Lytechinus pictus: one gene and its partners. The protein of the gene in region 1 binds, or shares a complex with, the protein of each later gene. Links are inferred from orthologs where the notes say so. Each region holds a gene or a part of one and is shown in the gene's direction. Other genes may lie near its edges.

Region 1 (7,757 bases):
TCATCTCTAATTCCACAATAAATTCATATTATTTTTTCATTTCACAAGCTGAAAAACAAAGCAGTTATTCATTTTGCATCATCATATTCATCAAATATACTTAGCGATGAATTGATTATAACATACAAAAAAAATCCTTACATTTATAACTTTTATTTTTATGGTTATCAGTGCTCACATACTGTAACACAATTGAAGATAGTCATATCACTTTACTTTCAATATTCAAATCAGAAATTACAAAATATTCTTCTAAAGTGACTTCCATTTGTAACTCACTTTGCCAACTTTGGTATTCAGTTGAAATTGTCTGCCTTAAGATGCTTTATAAATGACCATCTAGTATTTGGAATTAAATCAATTATTTTGATAGGCATTCTGCACCATCTTCATAGGCTGCATCCAGGCATTTAACATGTGGAAAATTTTCACTATTTGAGAATGATAATTTATTGGTTTATGAGAGAAAAATTTAATACTTTCATTCAATATACACGGGTAAGTGGTCTGATTAGGACTTGCAACAAATAAGAATGCCAACTAATTTATTCTTTGAACTGGAATATAGCATACAAAACATGAATTTTCACCCATGATCAGCAAAAGCATGAAATTTCATAACAAGCCAAGCAAGCACAATGCAGGCAGAGATTGACAAAAATAGAAAGCCATCATGGCATTGTACTGGTCCAAAAGTTATAGACATACTTTGCACATTATATTACACATTATATTATTCATTGTTATCATACAAATATATTACATGAACATTCACTGGCATGTTAATATACCTTCATATTCACAAATTGCAAAATGGGGAAATGTGGAGATTCAAAGAAAATGAAAGATATTGAAATTTTTTTCTCTACTGTTTATACATAGACAATACTTCTTAATGATTTAGTTTTTTAGGATGTATTGATACATTCTTGGCAAGTATGCAATTACTATTACTGTCCATATGAGTTGAAGTGAAGAAGGAACACCATGAAAACAATATATATGCACTATTTCTTTCTTTTTACTTTGGCTGTGTCTTTCTTCATACATTTCCCTCTATATTCTTCACCTGACCACCTAATACCATTCACTACATATATCTGTGACCATAAGCATGTTTCCCATTAGACTAAACTACTAAAGATATATCCCATTCTTAGTTAAGTTATAAAATTATAATGAATCCATTATTAGTAGGAATAACAACTACATGTATATGATACTTGTTACAAATAAAAAATAATAATTCCCATTCACAACAAACAGTCCTGACACATTGCATTTATTAATAAGCTTATTTATAGGCTAAACATGTATAAATACTGTTATCATAAATATTAAATTGTAAAGTTCAAAATTTGCAAACTGTATCAAAACTACTTGTCTGGACTCATCAATTGTTTTAATACAAAGAAGTACAGCTTGTATACTTGTCCATGAAATTGATTTTCACAAATATGCAAGGGCAATGTACAAAACCCCGTACAATATTTTGTGAATAACTTGTATTTCAGTTGTGCCACATCTAGCGGGAGATGACATTCTTTGAAAGAACATCCAATTGTGTAATTTTAATAAACCCTGAATAATATATAGTTTTGTTATACTTTGAAATAGTTATCCATAAATACTCTTGGCTTCCGGTAAAAGTGGTTTTTTTTATTACTCAATAACAGTACCAACCTTTTGCCAGAGTCAATGATCTGTAATATATTGATTCTTAATCCAATTTAGGTTTGTAGCTAAACTTTATTTTTCTTGGTTGTTTAGTAACAACATCTTCTTTTGCTTCTTGTGCCAGCTCAACAGGAGCAAGTGATTGTGGACGATTTTGCGAAAGTTTACTTCCAGACGAACGATTTTCAGATGACTTACTTGAAGAAGACTTATTTCTTGATGGGAGAAGGGTCTTCATAATTATTCCTAAAGTCGCCAATGTACGAAATGATTGTTGACGGGGAGTGACTACCTCTCCTTCGTGAGGTACGTGGTACCAGCTTCCCTCTACCTCCTCGCCTCTCTCCAAACGATGCCTGAAGGTGTGCTCGTTGCCTTCAAGCAGTCTCTGGTTGCACAGTTGAAACCCCATTTTCTCTAGTCATGACCTTGCTTGCTCCTCCAGACCAATGGTAAAGAGGATGATGCCCATGGGTGTTCTCTTTAGACCAAGGGACTCCAGCTTCTTGCTCATCTTGTTCTTCATGTTGCGCATCCGCAGGGAGGCGTGGATGAAGATCACTGTAGGAAGACAAAGAAGAATGAAGATTCTGATAATCACACAAAAAAATTGAAACAAATGCAAACCATCATTAAAATCACTCAGGAAGCCATTACCACCAATGATGTGTGCACCCTCAGGGACTTGCTGTATATATTTTTTTCCTTCAGAATTACACATGCGCTCTTACTTTCAAGAAATCTGCAATCATCGTAGTGCTTGATGTAATCCAAAGCTATAGATACCCTATTGATTGGCCTTCATACATGTACTTCCCTCACTGTCTGTAAAGATTACTTTATAAGCACAAAGTCATAGGTTTCCCATTTATGCCATTATATAGAAAAATTCCCATTGAGAAAAATGGCCTTGCCTGAAAATTATTGAAATGTAAAGTCCGAAATGTGAATGACCATTCTGCCTAAAGATCACACACATGACTGTGTACATGTGAATCATAAACAAATGAAAATATTACCGGCAAATTAAAAACCCATTGATTAAAAAAACTATTGGGATTCCTCTTTCAACTTCCTCATGACAATTTGACCTCTTTGAACGGAATTACTCAATATTTCCTGAAAGATAGGAAGTAATGTGTCTGGACACCTAGCCTTCTAATTTAACATTTTTTTGTAGTAGGCCTAAATTCATTGTAACTGTTGCTGTCATAAAACATTTGAGACCCATATGTTCAAACAAAAGGTTTCTGAAATACATGTAGTGTCACAAGAAAATATCTGCAATCAATTGTAAATTTCTATCGATTGTAACTATAGCAAAATTGATGTTTACTTCTTACTGCAAGAAGCAGACGAGCAGGCAAGCATTAATTGCTAGAGTTATGGTTGATATTGGGACCTAAACTTGACTTGCAATTCGGTGGATTCACAATATGGTGTATCACCTATTCTGTTGTGTGCATGCATGCGAAATGCTGCACTGGCTGATGCGGTTTGGCCGGCTTCCATAAAATCATGCAGTGTACCAGGGTCCAGGAGGTGGGAGGGAAATTTACTGCATTTTTATTTGCGAAATTTAGACCGTTTTTTGATGAATTCTTACTCTGCTTCATGCCATATGGTTTTCATTTTTGAAGAATCAGTCACATAACACTGTGCGCTGCCTGCGCCTGCGCGTCATGTCGACCCCGAAGTTAGAAATTGGCCTGTCTGCTGCAACCGATAGATGCCGCACCGTATGGTGAATCCACCGAATTGACTGCAACTTTCTTGCAATGCCCCACGAGTCTTACCAGCTGCTGGTGCAGCCAAGCCCCAGATGAGAACGAGAATACTTCCAAAGAGATACATGAAAAGCCAGATCACCAAGCAGAGTGCAATTAGACAGATCACTGGATGGGCTTTCTTGAAATCGTTTACTTCTCTCTTATTGGCAGACCAGTAACCAAATCCGAAGAATGCTGCGATCACGATGGCTAAGCCCCATAACATCTGAACAGGGTTTATACAGCTGCAGAATATGAAAGGAAATGGCCAACTATATCATTGTATTCATACAATATTGATATATTTGTCTTTATAATTATGGGGGGCAATGTCCTGACATGTTAGTAGATAAAAGCATCATCTTATGCCTTGATTACAACAAAAACTAATGTCAAGCACAAATGTATGTGAAAGTTTGTAATCTGAAATTTTGTCCAAACTTCATTTTATGAAATATTGCTTGCAGAGTGCATGAAATTTTCATATTGCCTACAACTTGTCAGAACATGCATGACTTGGGTATAAATATTTTTACTAAATGCATCAGATTGTCATATAATCAGCAGTAATTTTGCTATTATTTTCATTTTCTTTGTCTTCTCAAACAATAACAATCTTCAAGGCTTAGATCTAAATTCTAATAAAATATTTTTGGGTAGTCTGATGACAACTAGTATCATATTCCATATTCCATTCCTTGTATTACCAAACGCACGAATCATAGGCGTCAGAAAATAATTTCATAAGCTAAAAGCTTTGCAATATCCTTCCAAATGGAACTTGAATAGAAGGATAATGAAAAATGGTCAAAAACACATTTTCTAAGTCTTTATATTCTCAACATCAGTGATTTTGCTGTTTTTTCAACTTTTACATGGAAAACACATGTTCGGTAATTACAATACCATTTTCAAGGGACCAAAAATAATATATTTCACATGCGAAGAGGGGTCCGACTAGTAGCTGATATCGTAAAAAAGAAAAATGATTTCGGCAAAATGTTTACATATTAATATGTCATAGCTCTTTGTGTATTCATGTTAAGAGTATGAGTTTGTTGAATTTTATAAGAATTTTGTGTTTGATATGATTGAATTCATAGTCATACCGGTACACTGATATTTACAGTGTTCGGTATTACGATCCACTCATGCACTATGTGTGAGAGCTTCTTCAACATTTTGTTTAACTTTAATCTGTTTGCTAAAACATCTGGGAAACCAGTCTTTGATTAAATGCTGACACCTGATAAAATAAAAGAAGTGATGACCACGCCCATTCCAAACAACATCATTCATCAATTTTCCAACACAAATAAAGGTGCATGGGGCAACGCACTCACCCAACAATAAGGAAAATGACGATAAGAGTGAGGAAATAATTCGATTGGTAGTACAATAAATTATCTATCACCCGATTGGCCCATCTGGTTGGATTTCCTAGGGCTGGGGCAGAAAATCTGGCCGATTCCTTGATGAAATCATCCAAAGAACGAAGAGGAGGGATTTCAATATCATCCATGATTGCGATGTTGACGTCAAATTTCACGAGCGCCAGCTCCGGCAGCAGTCGGAGAACATTTGCGACTAGTATCTCTGCCAGAACTTGTGGGGGAAACTTCTGCTAATATTCATGTCAAACTCTCCACAAAGGACTTATTTTGATATTTTTGATCATCCAAAATACATTCTATAGCTTCTGAACTTTCGAATAGTATCTACAATTTGTAAAAATGGCGGAAGAACCGTACGTATTTGTCAATTATGTTGGGGTTGTGCTTTTGTTGAGTTGTACAGTCCCATATGTTTATAATTGTGATGTAGGTCCAGAGTATGATACTGGCGGACGCGATTGAATGTGAGTGACTGCGGCTTTCTTGCAGGGGCCCCGATTCTCTACTTGGCGCTAATGCAGCTTCGCACCGGCCGACTTTGAGATAATTTCCCCACCAGTAATTGTTCACAAATATCATAGCAAGTCTCAAATCAAGATCAATAATGCTTTTCCGAATTTCGCGATTGGGTTTTTGGAATTGCTGTCCGCTTCGCTTAGATCTCTATGTTGTCATTCAAATTTTCATGCAGACAGCGCTTCTCTTGGATTCACTGTAATGCAGATATGGACTGAAGTTAGCAAAGTACGACAGCTCGCCCTTACGTTTGCAGTATGTTCGCATGATTTTGGTAACTTGCGAAGTAACTTCATCGCGTTTCATGCTTTTGTCACTTTTGAAAGTTGTTGAAGCAAGAACTTCTTTTAGAAAATCAGGGCAGTTGAACTCAGGTTCAAATAAGTGTTTAGTTTCCAAAAACAGGAATGTCCAATTCTTTAAAAAGTAAATCAGTTATGTATAAAGCAACCCTGAGTGAATTTATCATATTTCTTACCTTTTTCCAGGATGACAGTGGACAGTCCAGAAACAGCAGACTGGTCAGGACGATGGACACACATCAGAAAACTATTGGAAAGATCAGGACCTTTGGCTACTCCAGAATTTGAGCCAAGTTCAGAGGTAGGCTCTATATCTTTCAAAATTTAAGCTTTTAAAGGTTGAATTTTTATTGAATTATAATGCCTCATCTTTTATTATGTTTAATCATCTCAAAAATACCTGCTTGGTATGCAGACCACTCACCAGCACATAGTGATATGTACAAGATCTTGTACAGACGTACAAGATCATCAATGGCATTGATGATTTGAACAAGGAGATGTTCTTTACATCTGCATCAACTCAGACAACACGTGGACATCTATGCAAATTGTATGTGAAGAGAAGCAGACTGGATGTTAGAAAAAATACTTTCAGTGCCAGAGTTGTAAATGACTGGAACTCCTTGCCGGCAGAGATAGTTACTACATCAACGTTGAACAGATTCAAGTCACAGTTAGACAAGTTTTGGTCTGCAGTGCAATATACTCACCCTTGGGAATAGTAACTCTGGCACAGCACACAGGCACACGTTATTTTAATAGTTAGATGGAGATAGCAACAGTGATAGACCTGGAAACACGACTGCATAAGTAATTGCATTTTTCCAGTAGATCCGGTAATAAAGGTAATAAAGGTAATAAAATGACTATGTATTGATTCAATTTTTTTTTCTATTTTATATGATTAGTTAACCCTCATTTCAGCAATTTTTGACAAAGCTAAGGGGGAAAAATGTCAGTAAAATAGGGTATGAGGCATCAGAAAATATCACACAAACATATTTTTTTATGGACCAGTTATATACTTTGTCATTTTTAATGAAATTGAGAATGAAATTTAAATAGTAATAATGATATATATTGAATTTTGATAAAATTAAAGAAATATCACAGAGTGAGATTTTCTTGTGGACCAATCATTACTTAAAAATTGGAATTAAATTTAAATGCAATTTGTTAATCATTTGCATGAAATTTAAATTAACATCAAAGAAAAGCTACAGAAACAGACTTTTTGTAAAACCAACCAATTTAACTGAAATTTAGATGAAATGTAAATAATGATAATGATTCAGATAAAATTGAACAAATGTCACAAAGACCTGTAGGAGATTTCTGTGGAACAATTATTAATCACTAAATATCACTTAATCACAAAGAAGGTATATAATAATATCCAAGTCCTTTGGAAGCACATTTAGACGTTATTCATAATGTATTATGCGCTATACAAGAACTGACTATTATTATTATTAAAGTATACATCCAAAGAAAATTCACGAAAGTGATGATTATAGACAAATTATATATGAATGGAAAGGTCTTGTCTTTTTATACACAAATATGTCACTAAAAAGTCTTATTGATGTCGTGGAAATGCAAGATATGAAATTATTAGAGACCCTTCTCAGCCCCCCAGCCGCCCCCAGACACACACTAACGCGATTAAATACAGTCGAGAATAATGACGTCACATGATGATCGACTCACTCAGCCGCTCTCTAGCTCTGTTCAAGCCAGCAGTACACTGATAGCTGATTCACCTTCCTGGTCTCTATTTTTCTTCGAATTTACCGTTTTCTTCATGTATTGTGATATCCGAATTCTGTTTTCGACAACTTCAGACTATAAGGGAACCAGAACTGTGTTATTTTGCCCGGTTTTTATTGAATTGTGAACTGGAAAGATTGATTTTGTCCACTCGACAGTCTTCGTTGTGTTGCTCTACTAACTATTGAAAAACTCCAAGCTGCACGGTCCCATTCACTTGCTCCCGATGCATGTTGCAGGTTACGCTGTTTGATCCAGTCAAAAGTCAAGGTAAGCATGTTTGGAAACTGTACTTGTTCTGACGATGCATTCAGGTCAGATGACAG
Region 2 (6,912 bases), on another chromosome or scaffold:
GATCTGACATCTTTTCTTGACTTTGATTGGCTAAAAAGAGACATCGTTCCTATAGTTACTGTCGAATAAAACAGGAATTGTCGGATAAAACGTCTGTCAAGTCCTTTCATGAAACGATCTCCTGGTCGCATTTATTATTTTCAAAAAGTGGTATTACAACATATTCATGGATATTTGTTTTCATAAACATCTTAAATAAAAGTGGTCTTTGATTGCCTTTGTTCACGTGATTATAAAATAAGATAATTCAACATGCATTTACCTATGTTTGACGGGCGGGGTGGGGGCGCCATTTTCCGAAAAGTTCTAAGGGGCGCTAAAATTAGGTCGGGGCCCCCGGGATGCAAAACCTGGATACGCGCCTGAAAATGGTGAGTAATTTTAATTCAATTTTCAAGACTTTATTCCAGACACAGCTAAGCAGAGGTCCATATGAACAAATATCATACTATACATTAAGACAGACATATATACAGAGATAAAACTGGATTAAACAAAGAACAAATAATTATGTATAGAGAGTATCGAACAAGGTATAAAATAATCACACTAAAATATTACTAGAAATAAATAATTAATACATAAAACAAAATTACAGCAATGTATGAAAAGTACAATGGAAATATTTACAAATGGTTATATGAGAAACTTGTTTCAACAAAAGACAAATATACGTAACTATTTTAGTAGATCAAGACTCATGACTCTGCCATTAGATTGTTACATCAATGCTTCCACAGTTCTGATGTATGGCGTACAGCTCTGCAGTGGGTTTAAAAATATACTTACATTAGTATTTTGAGAAATGTCAATTCTCTCAATAAACTTAAAAGTTAAGTTTCTAAAAACTGCTTGACATGAGTGTACATGGGCATCAGCAAACATTCTACTAGCACTAGAGTGTCTGAGTAACCGAAGGAGCAGTCTCATTGCATCGTTCATAATATAAGCTACCACAAGTATCCTTAAACTGCTCTTCTCACTATCTGCACCACAGATGTGCAGCAAACAGCGGAGTACACGATGCTCGAAATAATGCAACCTTAAACCCGTGAGAGCACATATGGAACTTTCTGCCCAGGCTACAAACGCTTGCCCTGGTAAATTATTCTTTACTATTGACAACACGATGCTTTCCTCACATAATAAAACTTACCCAACTCGAGCTGGCGCAATTCGCTTGCTCCTCTGGCAAATTCTTCATGCTTCAAATTGGAAATAAGCACGACTCCAAATGTGTTATCGTTCAGAAAATAATCATTATAGAAGCAAGGTTGTTTTGAACTTTAAAATAAATGGAGTTAAACATTATTGTCGAATTTATATGCTTGTAGCCTATTCTAATTACTGGGGCAAGACATGCCATTTTTTCTCAGTTGAATATTACTGATAATAACCGACACCGATTTCTCTGTCTGATTCTCTTCTTTCTTTTCCCCTTATTTTTTACGACTTAAAAATCAAAGTGTCGCCCTCTGCCTTCCCATAAGAGAGCGAAGAACGAGGAATACGCGGGGTAAAAATCCATAGCCTTATATTAATAGTTAGGCGCTTCTCTCCTTGCATTATACCGTGCGACCCACAAAAACGAACCCGATGTTAAGCGATGATTTATCATAACTTAATCACAAATACAATAAACAAATGACCTATCATTGTAAAGCTTAGAATGTCTTTTTTTTTTGCTGGTATAACATATAATAGTTTTCATCCACGCATGAGCTCGTGAGTAAAAACATTTTGGCGGAGGGTATTAAAATTTCAAACAGAAAATCACATGCCTAAAAAGTTAAATTCGTGCTCTTTAATTTGATAGCTAAATCGCAGAAAATGGTCAAGAAATAACAAAGTTAGGTTTCTTCGAAACAATGCTTGCATTTCCATAATTCCATGAAACATACGTGTTTTCACCGGTTTCCCACCCAAGCTATATCGCACAGTTAATAAAAAGACTTTCTGCACGGCTGATCGTCAACAAAACGGAGTGTCGAATAAGTCTAAAAGCTATCCTGTAAAATTATTGGAATTTAAGCCTTATTTCCATTAAACAGAACTTAGTTATTTCCCGACCGTTTTCTGTAATTGAGGTATCAAATTAAAGAGTAGATATTGAACTTTTTAAAAATGTGATTTTCTTTTTGAAACTCAGATACCGCCCGCCAAGTGACTTTTTTTTTTTCCAAATTGTTTTTGCTCATGCACTCATGCATGAATGAGGAATAATCTAAGTTATTTCAAATGAAAGAGGAAACCCTAAGCTTTACAATGATAGGTCATTTGTCTATTGTATTTGCGATTAAGGCATGATAAGGCATGATGAGACCAAAAGTTTACATACACCCATATTCAGTGAAATTTGTTCGCTTGCCAAACATCGTAAAATTTACTTCAGGTGTATATCTTCAGACATATAAATACTACCATGAGGAAATTTGGTATCAAAATGAAAGAGCGTCTTTTAAAAGCTCTTTCACATGATTGGGATGCCGTTGAAATTAATTATTTCAGGTAGAATTTTTTTGAAGAAAATGAAGTAATATTTGTGCCAAATGTAGGCCCTATTATATTGTTTTTTTAATTATATTTTCAAACAGCGTTTCATATAAATAGATAAATGTCCCGGATAAATGTCAAATCTATGATTTATATTACATTTTCTATCATGATATGTGATCACCACTGAACAAAAAAGTGTAATCTGAAATGCTTGTGTTGAGAAGTAACTAGCACAAATATGAAATGCTTTTTTTTTCATTATTTTTAATTTGTGTAAAATATGAAGATTTTTTTGGGGAAAAAAATGACACCTAAATATTTTTCAGCTCCCGATGGCAAAGCAATGCGATGAAGGGGCATGACATACTCAATTGTTTGCTGTCGAATTCATCATGATAGCACAAATATTTTATAAGATACAGTAAATTTAATGATTTTTGCCAATTTAACCCAATAGGGTTAATAAATTGAACACGAAACACATGAAAATTGCTAAAAAGTAGATTTTACATCATATCTGATGTTTTTCCATTGAAAATTTTAAAAGATTTTTTTCCATTTTTTCTAAATACGATTACTTTTCGATGTTGAAGCAGCTAAATCTAAAAAATGTTCATAAAAATAGTAAAATTATGTCATTTCTATAAAATATTCACAAATGGTGTGAGCTTGTATAACAACATATAGGCCTACCTAAAATTTGAATGCATTACTTTATGTAAAGTAGTAAAATTAACCAATTTTAATGACCCGGTAGTGGATTTAGCTCCTTTAGGAATAAAACTAAAATTTGCAATCAAGTTTTATCAATCTTCCAAAAAAAAAATTCATATGCGAGGTGGTGCATTGGATTCCCATGTCTAAGATACATATATTTAAAATAAAAAAAAATTTGGTCAAAACTGGATTTAGCCCCTTTTTTGGAATCAAGCTCTTTATCTGAAATACCCAATATTTATTTATAAAAATAAAGCTAAATAGGTCTATTACTTATCAGTAACTTCAGTCTAATCGCGGATCCAGGGGGGGACATTACGGCCTGTGTCCCCCCCTTTACGAGTCAAATTTTACGTTGGACACATTGACCTTCTCATTTTTTAGTGACAACATTTTTTTTTTTGCTTGTCCGATTGGGAAAATATGCCCCCTCCCCCTTTGGAAAATAGGAAGCACTCCTCTCTTCATTTCTCTGAATATTTTTCACCAGTATTTGTTATTGTTGTAGCTTCAAATAAATCGAGAAAATAAACATGACTAATTAGCACCTTGGCATGAGCGAATGTTCTGTTCCCCAACAACTTTCCCAGCTGCTTTCTCTCTCTCTCTCTGTCTATTTTTATTTTCTAGATTTCTTTGAAGACTCAACAATACCATAAGCTTCAGACCAATTTTAATTTGGTTTGTTTTGTTTGGTAAGAGCAAGAGACATGTTTTTATCAGGGACCATCAAGCCATAGTTCTATGTTACTTCTTCAATTCTACTCGAAGCTGGTGCAAATAATTCAGAGAAATAAAGAGAGGTGTGCTTCCTATGCAATTCACGTGAGTGAGAATAATGCAATCAGGCTGTAAATTTTTCCTAAAATATAAATATAATCTATCCGGGAGTACGGTACCGGTAATACGGTACCGGTAATACGGTATAGTAGTCTGTCATTCACTTTGCGCTCGCTGCATGCCTTACCCGCTGCCTTTCTCAGTCTCACACTCACAGTCACATTCACATCTCTCTCATCAGTCTCACGGCCACGGATCGATTCTTGTGCATGTCGCAATATTGCATTTTCTTTTGCAATGTCTAATAGAAGTTTTTGGAGTTAGATTATAGATATTCAAATTGTAATGTAGCATACTCTGTTGAAGAGAATACGTCGTATTGAACAAAATTATGAGCCAAGTTAATATAATTATAAGAGGGGGCTAACGTATTACTAATACTAGATAGATCTAACTCTAGTCAAGTTAGATGATAAATTAGAAATGGAATAGATCTAGAAAGACTAACGTTAGAGGCCGATCTAAAGTTAGATCTAACGTTGGGCCTGCTACAACGGCTGGCGCGTTGGCGCACCCATACAATAGTTACATGCAACCATGCACAGGCACAACGCTAACCCAGAGAGCTCCCGCCCGCTGCGCGGGCGGGAGCCCAGAAGCTTACCGTGTATTTGACCATATTCACCGGACTAGGGTGATTTATGGTCAAAATATTTCTCCAAATGAATTGTGAAAACAGAAAGTATACAATTACCACGATTATATATGGATGAAGGTCTAACAAGTGGCAGTTTCCTGACATCTGGGCACAGACTGGAACCTCAAAAAAACGAAAAGTTCTCTCCTTCTACCCCCGTTTCGATCGGCCATTTTTGTTAAAAATCGTAACATGGGTTAGCACAATGCATGCAACACTTCCATTGGATTGCGCGAAGTTTATTTTTATTTTTAAATCAAATCAAATTTTGGTACCGGTATGAGACTTCCCAAATGATAATATGAAGCCACTTTTCCCAAATATTCGTCAATTGGGGAAATTTTAACAATTTTTTCTTCTCTTTAATGAGCTTTGGAGGACATCACTAGCAGATTCTGAGTTTTTTGTCTAAGGGTAAGAGGGCATGCGATTTATATTCATATATCGAAATCGATGCGTTAGCGAAGTCGGCAAAGTGTCCAGTTTTTTCATTGTATAGACATTGATGGACCATTTGTTGGCAAATGAAGGCTTGCACTGCTGGTCTAGTTCAAGGCAGAAAGAATTTTTCTATTTTTGTTTAATTTTGTTGTCTCTTTAAATGATTTCCATCAGCAATAATAATCTAAAAGTATGTTTTTGAAGGTATTCTATTTATTGGTGTACGTGTATAGACCTATAATTTATGAAGCAATCATAGGAATTGCGCAAACAATGAATTTTAGACACAGTTATTAAATTACTGATGAGCTGAATTAAGGTTGTGAATTTTATTAGCGCGACCATCAAGCTTCCTTTTATTTCCGTGGAAGAGACATGCGAAACCACTTTCCAAGCCGAGGTAGGCAATTTTGCTCTGTTTTGTGTGTTTTTGATATATAAAAATGGTAAAAAAATTAAAATAGTATAGCGACTCACTGGGAAGAGCCCCGGTACGTAGCAAAAAGAAGTTTCGGCAAACATTACTTCTGTAATGAAGCGATGTTTGCCAACTTCTTAAAAATCCACACCCAAACACGGGTGTGCAAGGTTAGTCTAGCATACTAACCTTGCAATACGTGTGAGTGGATATGGCGTATCGACTTTCGCGTAAAAGTTATAAAAAGTTGCGAGCGAGCAAAGTGAGTGAGCCAAAATTTTGACATTTTATCAAAAACCCAATTATGTGATAGATCTTTTTACATGATATTCAGAAAATTATATATTCCACTCTTCTCTCTTTCCTTTTCTTTTATTTTTCTATTTTTGCCCCTTGCCTTAGTCATGATTTTTTTTTTGGCAAGAGCTAGAGCCCTCCCAAGCCCCCCCCCCCCCCCATCTGACTTGCCATGACTTAACCATATAGATCTACATGCACTCTTTGAATATGGCATTAAAAATATCAAGGTACTTTCTTCTTTTATGTCCTTATTGACAAGTCCAACTGAATGTAAGATATATAGCCCAAAATACCATGTACTTGTATATGGTGCCACTAAACTACCCGAAACACAAAATATTCCAATATCATATGCATAATGAGGATATTTCTTTATTTTTTGCAAGCAGCTCTGTTTATCGTTTTGAAATGAATTTCTTGTATCTTTACAGTTAATGATGATTACTCTGTCAAAGAAATTAAAGGAAGATGCAGCCAGGAAGTCAACTGGTTCAAACTCCAAATCCACAGACCTTAACAATTCAACAAAGCGAGTTTCCATACGAGACAGATTGCTTGTTAAAGAAGTGCCTGAAATGACATCCAGCTTACCAAGTAAGGAAATAAGTTTATAGCAAACAAACTACAAAAAAAAACAAGATAAAATAAAAAGAAAAGCTAGGAGAGATTTACTTGTAATATTCTCTTTCAAAGCTATCCTAAATCTTGCACATGTGATGGTCACTATTTCAGTTTGTAATATATATCTTTAAACTGATGGTAAGACTGATAGGAATAATTCAATAAAAACATGTTTGAGTGAGATTATTTTGGCAATTTTTTGATATATGTCAAGTTGTTATGCGTGGGATCTTGACCAAATATTTGTTTGTACGTTGCACTGGCTATCTGATATGTAATCTTTAAATTTTGTTCCAATTAATTAAAGAAAAAGGAAAACATTATAAAGAACTTGAGCTTAATATCCAGAAATCTGAATTTCAAATTTCACAGGTGAATAAATATTTTACAGGCACTACACTTATCATAAGCTTGGAATGTGAGGTGGTACTCAAATATAATT
Region 3 (7,959 bases), on another chromosome or scaffold:
TTTCTTTCAGAAAGATATTTGACAAATTACTTGTGATATCCATGCTTTAGCTGTAGAGTTTAAAATCTTCATTAAACTTTATTTAATCCGTTGTTTATCTATTTTCATTCAGAGTTTCTGAAAACGTAAACATATCATTTGTATCATTATGTAAAGAATTTCAATCTACCTTAAAAAGTAATGCACTAAATAAACTGCTCTGTCTACTACACATGTACATATAAGTTTTGATTTTAAAGGTCAAGTCCTCCCCAGAAAAAAATTCGATTTGAATTAATAGAAAAAAAATCAACCGAGCATAATGCTGAGAATTTCATCAAAATCCGCGTCGGTTGTAAAATAGGAACGTTATGAAATTTTCAAGTTTGGCTTATTTTTCACAACACAGTTATATGCACAGATCAGTGACATGCAAATGAGACAGTCAATGATGTCCACATGTTCGGGGGGGGGGGGACTAATCTTGGTTTCACTTGACAATGAAGAGAAAATTTGAATATTTCATCTCGTAGAATTAAAAGAAATAGTTTGCATGCCGACTGGGATGTACATATAAGTTTCTAGTCAAGCAAAACTTTAAAAATGTCATAACTTAATATCTTTACATCAGATTTTGATGAAATTTTAAGTGTTACGCTCGTTGTGTTTTTCTCTTTTTATTCAAATCAACTTTGTGGGGGTGGACTTGTCCTTTTATATCGTTTTCAAGTAATTGTGTCAGGAGAAAACAAAAATGAAATTCTTTTATCAATTCTGTCCATATGCTGCATGGTTCATCGTTCTTGCAGGAGGCAAAAAATAAATTTATATAAGAAAGTCTTATTTTATTTACTTTCAGATAAAAATTGTGCTAAGGAGAGATTAAGGTTATGTGTAAGACAGGGGTGGTGGTAATGGTATGTTGGTTAAGGTTGTGTATGAAGAAAGTCAAGTGATTGCTTGCTTGTGCAGGAGGATATACTTCAAGAAACTTGTTGTAAGGCATAATGCAAAATTATTTATAATAGAACTTAATTGAGAGAAAAGTATTTGGCACGTTAAGATGCACAATAATGTACATGTGATTGAAGCAAATGAGAAATGAAAGGAGTAAAGGTAGCTACATGTGTCACTGAGAGAATTGCCTGTGGTGTTATATTTATAGCATAAATCTTTGTTTAAAAGTTATTTTATTTTAGGAAATTTAGTCCCTTCAGTTTGAAAGTATAGAGGGCGGACCATGGACCACTGACCATGGAAAAAAGTCCCCCCCCCCACCAAAAAAACACAAAATAAAAAATATTACCAAGAAAAGAAAGAAAGGTGAAACACATTATTTTCTGAATATTATGTCAAATCTATCACAAAATTGGATATTTGATATTAAAATTTTTAATATTTTTCCTTGCTCGCAAGTTTTTATTTTACCTGATATGCCATATTTAGCCCACTGATATTTCCCCAATTTCAAATATATTATTATGATTGGGTGGAATACCCTTTACACTTATCCAGGATTGATAAGTCTTTATTTTTCTGATAAGGAAATTGTGTTTCCTTTAAGGAAAAAAATACTGCAAGCATGGTGAATAGCTTGACCCCCCCCCCCCCTCCAAAGCAAACTGGAGTATATAGGTTAAGGTTGGGAATAATGCGATTGCAAGAGTGACCAGTGAGTGTGGAGGAGCTACCAATGAGTATCTCAGCTCCTTTTAGAGATGTTGGTAGAACTGACGTATAGAATAGGGAGGGGGGGCCTTGGGGCTCTTGCCCCCCCCCCCCCAAAAAAAAAAAAAAAAAAAAAAAAAAAAAAAACACGACCAAGAAAAAGATAAAAGAAATGAGGGTGAAATAGAATATTTTTTGATATTATGTGAAAATCTAACACAAACTAGGATTTTAATGTCAATTTAAAAAAAAATTTGCTCGCTTAATTTTTTTTTTTAAATCAATTTATCGAGATACACCATATAAAAAGACAAGAATAAAATGAATTGAAAATATTACTTCGAATGGGAAAGTCAATTCTGAGGGAAAGGAAAAGAGGCACGCTTGTGGACGCGAGATCAGATCAAGGTCATGTCGCTTCACCCCACGCGACGCTGGCCCCACCATTTACCAAGTACATAACCCAAACAAAGATTCAATTCCATATTTCCATTTTCTATCAAAGCTAGCTCCGGGCAAAGTTCCACCGGACTTCGATAAGGTAGGTAGGATTATACAATCAGATTGGTTATGATTTAATTCAAACAAATGTGCACTTGATCTAGATGTAATTGGCGTGTAACGTTAGATTTATTTTTCCGTAGATCTAAGTAACTTCCTCAGGCCTAAAACGCAGTTACGGCACGCTATTATAGGCCTAGATCCACGTCTAACTGCACTGTAAATACGATGGCGATCGATCTGGACTTCATATTAGACCAAAAAGGCAAAAAAAAAAAAAAACTTTGGTCTGTGTCATTGTTCCGCTGGACTCCGTTGCCTCCACTAACCAATTGAGAAATAAGAAATTGAAAAAAAATGTGTAAAACCCCCCGAAAAAGCCGGCTGCTGCAGCTGTCTAAAAAAGGTTAAAACTTCTTCACGTTGCAGTGCACCTACCACACGGTACCGTACATTGACGGAGTTTGAACTTCTCGATACGGTACGATGCTGCAGGCGCAGTCGAGCTAGCTCGCACGCAGGCAGCGCTAACGTTAGTCCGAACCTAAGTTGGTAAATATTAACAGATAAGTAATGACAATGTTCGTTGTCAACACCTCATTGCTAAGAAATTCAAGTTCATGCTGCTGATACATGATTTTGGGGTTGAGTTCTGCTTCCTAACTCATGTGATGCAATGGCGACATTTCATATGGCCCTAGCAGACGAAACTCTCAAATACGGCACTGGGCATGCTCAGTACTGCTTTATTACACTGAGCATGCTCAGTGCAGTGTTATAATAGTATGCTAGCTTCAGTCCATGATTTAATCCATGGACTAAAGTTATCACCGGGGTATAACTCAGCCGTGGGTTAAATTTAGCACCGGGTGCTAAAGTTAGTCCATGGATTAGTTAGTCCACCGTTTGTGAATAGCGCGGTGGACTAACTTTATACCCCGGTATTAGTTAACCCCCGACTAAATTTAACCCCGGTATAACTTTAGTCGACCTTTGTGAATTCGGGCCAAGATGAAATGAGATGAAGTACAAAGAGTTACAATTGATCTGTTCAGTCCATCAGTGTCATAATTTTTTCTGTAGGATATTTGCTCAATGTCCTTTGAAAACAAAGAGAAGCATACTGAAAGCTTGGCGTTTACCAGCAAAAATGCTGTCCTGCAGAGTTCCTACGAGGATACCATAAACAGAAACACAAACAAACAGAATAAACAGAATTGTCCAGAAAACAGTGAATGTAAGGATATACATCATTTCTAGAAAATATTTTGAACAAACATGTATGTATTTTAGATGACATTACTGGCTTTCTATAGTTGTGATTGATCAAATCAATCGCAACTCTTTACAAGAGGCCCCATTTTTGTCTCACCTGCATAGCAGAGTGAGACTATAGGCGCCGCTTTTCCGACGGCGGCGGCGGCGGCGACGGCGACGGCGGCGGCGGCGGCGGCGGCGTCAACACCAAATCTTAACCTGAGGTTAAGTTTTTGAAATGACAGCATAACTTAGAAAGTATATGGACCTAGTTCATGAAACTTGGCCATAAGGTTAATCAAGTATTACTGAACATCCTGCCTGAGTTTCATGTCACATGACCAAGGTCAAAGGTCATTTAGGGTCAATGAACTTAGACCATGTTGGGGGAATCAACATCAAAATCTTAACCTAAGGTTAAGTTTTTGAAATGTCATCATAACTTAGAAAATATATGGACCTAGTTCATGAAACTTATACATAAGGTTAATCAAGTATTACTGAACATCCTGTGCAAGTTTCAGGTCACATGATCAAGGTCAAAGGTCATTTAGGGTCAATGAACTTTGGCCAAATTGGGGTATTTGTTGAATTACAGCCATAAATTTGAAAGTGTGTTGGTCTAGTTCATTAAACTTGGACATAATAGTAATCAAGTATCACTGAACATCCTGTGCGAGTTTCAGGTCACATGATCAAGGTCAAAGGTCATGTAAGGTCAAAGAACTTCGGCCACGTTGGGGGTATTTGTTGAATTGCCATCATATCTCTATAAGTGTATTGGTCTAGTTCATAAAACGTGGAAATAAGAGTAACCAAGTATCACTGAACATCTTGTGCGAGTTATAGTAGTTTTCAAAATCAGCACTGCTGCTATATTGAATCGCGTGATGCAGGTGAGACGGCCAGAGGCATTCCACTTGTTCATATATGTTTATGAAAGAATAACTTGATGATGACAAGTGACTAGTAATGTGTCTAATGGTATCTAAAAATACCATTATTATTATTATTACTGCCTTATCAAGATGCACTGGTTTAAGGGGTAAGGAGATGTTCAGTTCAAGTGACTAGGCTTGGTAGGATGAGCCATAGTTCTTTTAAGTCTTGTTAGCTGACTCATTGAGAGGCTGGACTATGGTGGTTGGTGATTAGGCAATAATAGCAATTTGATATTTCTTTAATACATGGGGAGCGAGTAAAAATGTCAATGTGAATGACTGAAAGGATAACAGTAGTTATAAACTAAATAACATAAATAATAATTGAAGAGGCTATTAAAGTGATGGGTGACACTGCTAGTGATTCAACAAACTTGAAATTGATTTTGATTTTTTGTTGTTGAACCATCCTCTGAAGCACAACTGTATGTAAATTTGTTTATTATTGACAATGCTGCGTATCATACTTGGAGAAAGATACTATGAGGATTGGGCATTTGTGGTTATATATGAGATTTACAGAGATCAAACAAAATGTCTTTACTTGCCCCACCCTGAACCAAGTTTTACCTATTATTAAAAGTGGAAAAGAATTGCTGACAAAGCCAACATGGATTTAAAAAAAATCATAAGTCTCTTTTTATGTCTTTCAGTAATCGAGTCTCATCCAGACAATGCCCATGATGACCTGAGACTGGATCGTCCATTCTCTAGTTTTAAAGAGTTTGTCGGGTCATTTGATCTTGCTTCTATGACAAAACAGGTATGATATGGCCTCATAAAGGCTTAGAGGTGCCAGAAATAATTTTAATGCCACTATTTAATCGTCTAGATTCTTGGAATTCTGGAATCAAGACAATTCTGATACAGAACGACATCAGAGGCCTTTAAAATCAGTTGATGAAAAGCGATATATAAAGCTTATTTTCGAAACCTGATAGAGCTATTCTTAAGCAAAATACTCTATTGGCAAGCAGTGAAAATGCATAAACCTAGATTATAATAATTGCTGTGTTTTGTAAGTTTATAAGCTTCAATTAGTGTTTAAGACCCCTGTTACACAGGATCTCCTTTGAGACTGCTTTGGATTCGGTGTAAACGCAAATCTGCCCGAGACTGGTCTGAGAAAGGTTTGCTTGATGCACTACAGGTGGAACGATTATCCAAACAACAAACACAGCGCGTGCTTGGTGCCCTGCCAAACCTATCTCAGACAGCTTTGGTAAGTTGGTGTAAACGCACAGAAAGCTGTCTTGGGGTGCCTAAAGGCTCGTTAAGATTCCGGTGTAATAGGGGGTCAAAAATTTAGGTCAACTTTTTGGAAACCAGTCTCGGGTAGGAAATCCGGTAAAACAGGGGTATAATTTGTCAATATCACTTTTAAGTTCAGTCAGGGTCTTTAATGCCCAACAACAGTCTCATTTCAGGTTTGGTGCTGTGGCTAATGTAAAAATCATAAATTCAAACTGTAGTAGCAATAATCATGACCTTTGTTGATTTTATTATTACAGGACCACATGCATACGCCTTACCTTATCCTTTTACACAACTACTTGGAGGAATGGAGAAAAGAGGTAAGATATGATTGGATTTGATTATTTTTATGCTTCGGTAAGAATAATACAGTTGTCTGAAAACTGAGCATAGGCCTATGCAGATTGATTTTTATCATTCTTTCCCCCCCTTTACCTTCTGTTGTGTTTCCCAAACTCTCTCTTCTTTCGTTTGAGAAAGATACTAAAACAGAAGTATAAAGTGAAATAATATTTGTTTTGTTGAACAGCATGACGGTGAGATACCCAAGAACTACAAAGAGAAATCTGCCTTCAAGGAAATGATCAGGCGAGGGATTCTGGTCAACGAACATGGCGTGCCTGAGCTGGAAGAGAACTTTGATGAAGCCATCAAGGCTGTCAACGCTTCCCTGACGAAGACCAGGATCCCAAGCCAAGTCCAGGACATCCTGACAGATCCTGCCTGTACTAGTCTAACTTCAGAGGTAGGTTGGACTGCTTGATTCTCCCAAAGACCTCATGCATTGAGTGTCATCGCGCTGCCATTAGAGGCTGAAGCTATTGCCTTCAAACATTTGGGATCTCCAGCTGGCGCATCTCTGACAACATTGTTTACCTTTATTCCTATAAAAGGAGGGCGCTATAAGGTTATCATGTCATATGCATGAGGTCTCTTGATGTCAAACCACAAATTAGTTACTCAGCTATTACTGTGGTGTACAAATATTTAAATGTTTCCCAAGCATAATGGCCTGTATTCACAAAGGTAGTTTCACTTGTACCATGGTACAAATTCATGGACTATGTATGTTTTGTGCATATCATAACGCCTATTTCACTGTGAAAGAAGACTCCAACCAAATTTGTCCTTTTTGCAAAGAGGGCTTCATTTTTTGTTGTATGATGTGCAATAATACAAGAAATCTGCATAGTCCATGGTACAATTGAAACCTCTTTTGCAAAGTTAGTTTTATTTTATATAAAAAGCTACACAAAATCTTAGCAGGTTTTTACATAGGATTCTGTAGAACAGTGTTGAAGATTTCCCAAACAGCCTAAACTTCCAATTTGAGATTGAAGTTATTTTTTCTTCATTGTTTTTGTAGAGTTCAAATTACTGGATCTTAGCCCAGGCAGTCAAACAGTTCACTGAGAATGAAGGAAATGGAGCACTCCCCCTACGAGGATCTATCCCTGATATGACGGCTGATTCCAAGAGATACATACAGCTCCAAAATGTGTAAGCAAAAGCAAATACTGAGTTTTATTTTGTTTGTTATGGTGTCAAAATATGTTATGAAGTAAAGATTGATTAAAGTTATATATATATTTAAGGAGTTAAGTTAAAAAAAAGTTGTTACTGTTCACAACTATCATATGATTAGACTTCATCCTCTATGAAGATCCATCCCTCATATGACTACTAGTTTCAAGAGATACATTCAGCTTACAGTTACATGTACATACATGTCTGTCCTTTGGATAGGATGTTAATGAAGGCCCATGGAGAGGAGAGTCACCAGCTAGTTAAGAACCCACTGCACTCTACTATAAGACTACATGTAGTACTGGTGTAATGGTCCACCTGCACAACCGCTATCAGTTATATCGGGAGAGAGATCCGATGGTCATAGTGATTCAGTTTGATTTTTGCCTTCTTGGCACAGGTGGCGGCGCCAAACAAAATAATATATGATAATAGTAAATAATAGACAGTCAAGAATCTATTTAATTTTACATTATATTCATATTGGACATTGGTATTGACTTCAATAGTAGGTCCTGCTGGAGAGTGTTGAAAGAAAACAAATCAGATTTATCTCTATGACTGGAAGGGTGTCCAGTAAGTCTAAAAAAATCTATTTAGATTTTTGGTAGTGGTTGGTTATTTAATTTGATGGTGATATTTCAATTCAAATTCTAAAATGAATTTATGGAAAGTCAACTGTAGGGTTTTAAGATGTAGGTGTTTTATAGGGATAATTTTGTTCCATTTGCAAATGTTACAAAACCCAATGGCAAAAAACCCCGATTGTTTCAGCTACAGAAGTTGATTTTGTGGGATCGGAATGTGCACTGCAATTAATATTCATTAGCTA

The links.
Region 2: the proteins of NEDD8-activating enzyme E1 catalytic subunit-like (region 1) and NEDD8-conjugating enzyme UBE2F-like are in contact, whole or in part, in a crystal structure (PDB 3FN1), measured with the Homo sapiens proteins. The link is inferred for Lytechinus pictus from reciprocal best matches to the Homo sapiens genes UBA3 and UBE2F. Residues at the interface, in NP_003959.3 of Homo sapiens: Ala401, Thr403, Thr405, Leu406, Glu407, Gly408, Asn410, Arg411, Thr412, Ser417, Val418, Thr419, Ser420, Ile421, Arg424, Thr425, Gln442, Glu443, Ala445, Ala447, Asp448, Val449, Thr451, Pro452, Gln453, Thr454, Leu456; in NP_001265234.1 of Homo sapiens: Thr27, Arg28, Arg29, Val30, Asp34, Lys35, Val38, Lys39, Val41, Ala42, Glu45, Val54, His55, Phe56, Pro57, Asp58, Pro59, Asn60, Leu62.
Region 3: the proteins of NEDD8-activating enzyme E1 catalytic subunit-like (region 1) and NEDD8-activating enzyme E1 regulatory subunit-like are in contact, whole or in part, in a crystal structure (PDB 3DBR), measured with the Homo sapiens proteins. The link is inferred for Lytechinus pictus from reciprocal best matches to the Homo sapiens genes UBA3 and NAE1. Residues at the interface, in NP_003959.3 of Homo sapiens: Trp34, Glu35, Gly36, Arg37, Trp38, Asn39, His40, Lys43, Phe44, Glu46, Arg47, Ser48, Gly49, Pro50, Phe51, Thr52, Phe56, Glu83, Lys86, Asn87, Leu90, Ser91, Val106, Ser107, Leu109, Asn110, Arg111, Phe113, Leu114, Arg116; in NP_003896.1 of Homo sapiens: Glu10, Gln11, Lys12, Tyr13, Asp14, Arg15, Gln16, Leu17, Arg18, Leu19, Trp20, Asp22, Glu44, Lys47, Asn48, Leu51, Pro52, Gly67, Glu68, Ala70, Gly71, Asn72, Asn73, Phe74, Phe75, Gln77, Arg78, Ile81, Phe92, Glu95.

What each region holds. Positions count from the first base shown.
Region 1 is NC_087247.1:8,072,501-8,080,257, forward strand, and holds the start of NEDD8-activating enzyme E1 catalytic subunit-like, read left to right. Parts: upstream 1-4,739; 5' UTR 4,740-4,789; coding exon of another isoform or gene 4,790-4,968; 5' UTR 4,969-5,179; coding exon 5,180-5,193; exon of another isoform or gene 5,194-5,344; intron 5,345-5,844; coding exon 5,845-5,959; intron 5,960-7,757. Other genes in the region: PRA1 family protein 2-like, read right to left, coding at 2,099-2,238, 3,474-3,691, 4,790-4,968. UniProt on the Homo sapiens protein: Catalytic subunit of the dimeric UBA3-NAE1 E1 enzyme. E1 activates NEDD8 by first adenylating its C-terminal glycine residue with ATP, thereafter linking this residue to the side chain of the catalytic cysteine, yielding a NEDD8-UBA3 thioester and free AMP.
Region 2 is NC_087245.1:21,324,559-21,331,470, forward strand, and holds the start of NEDD8-conjugating enzyme UBE2F-like, read left to right. Parts: upstream 1-3,894; 5' UTR 3,895-3,957; coding exon 3,958-4,038; intron 4,039-6,280; coding exon 6,281-6,443; intron 6,444-6,912. UniProt on the Homo sapiens protein: Accepts the ubiquitin-like protein NEDD8 from the UBA3-NAE1 E1 complex and catalyzes its covalent attachment to other proteins. Together with the E3 ubiquitin ligase RNF7/RBX2, specifically neddylates cullin-5 (CUL5).
Region 3 is NC_087246.1:57,534,695-57,542,653, reverse strand, and holds the start of NEDD8-activating enzyme E1 regulatory subunit-like, read left to right. Parts: upstream 1-4,941; 5' UTR 4,942-4,956; coding exon 4,957-5,109; intron 5,110-5,857; coding exon 5,858-5,920; intron 5,921-6,129; coding exon 6,130-6,345; intron 6,346-6,966; coding exon 6,967-7,100; intron 7,101-7,959. UniProt on the Homo sapiens protein: Regulatory subunit of the dimeric UBA3-NAE1 E1 enzyme. E1 activates NEDD8 by first adenylating its C-terminal glycine residue with ATP, thereafter linking this residue to the side chain of the catalytic cysteine, yielding a NEDD8-UBA3 thioester and free AMP.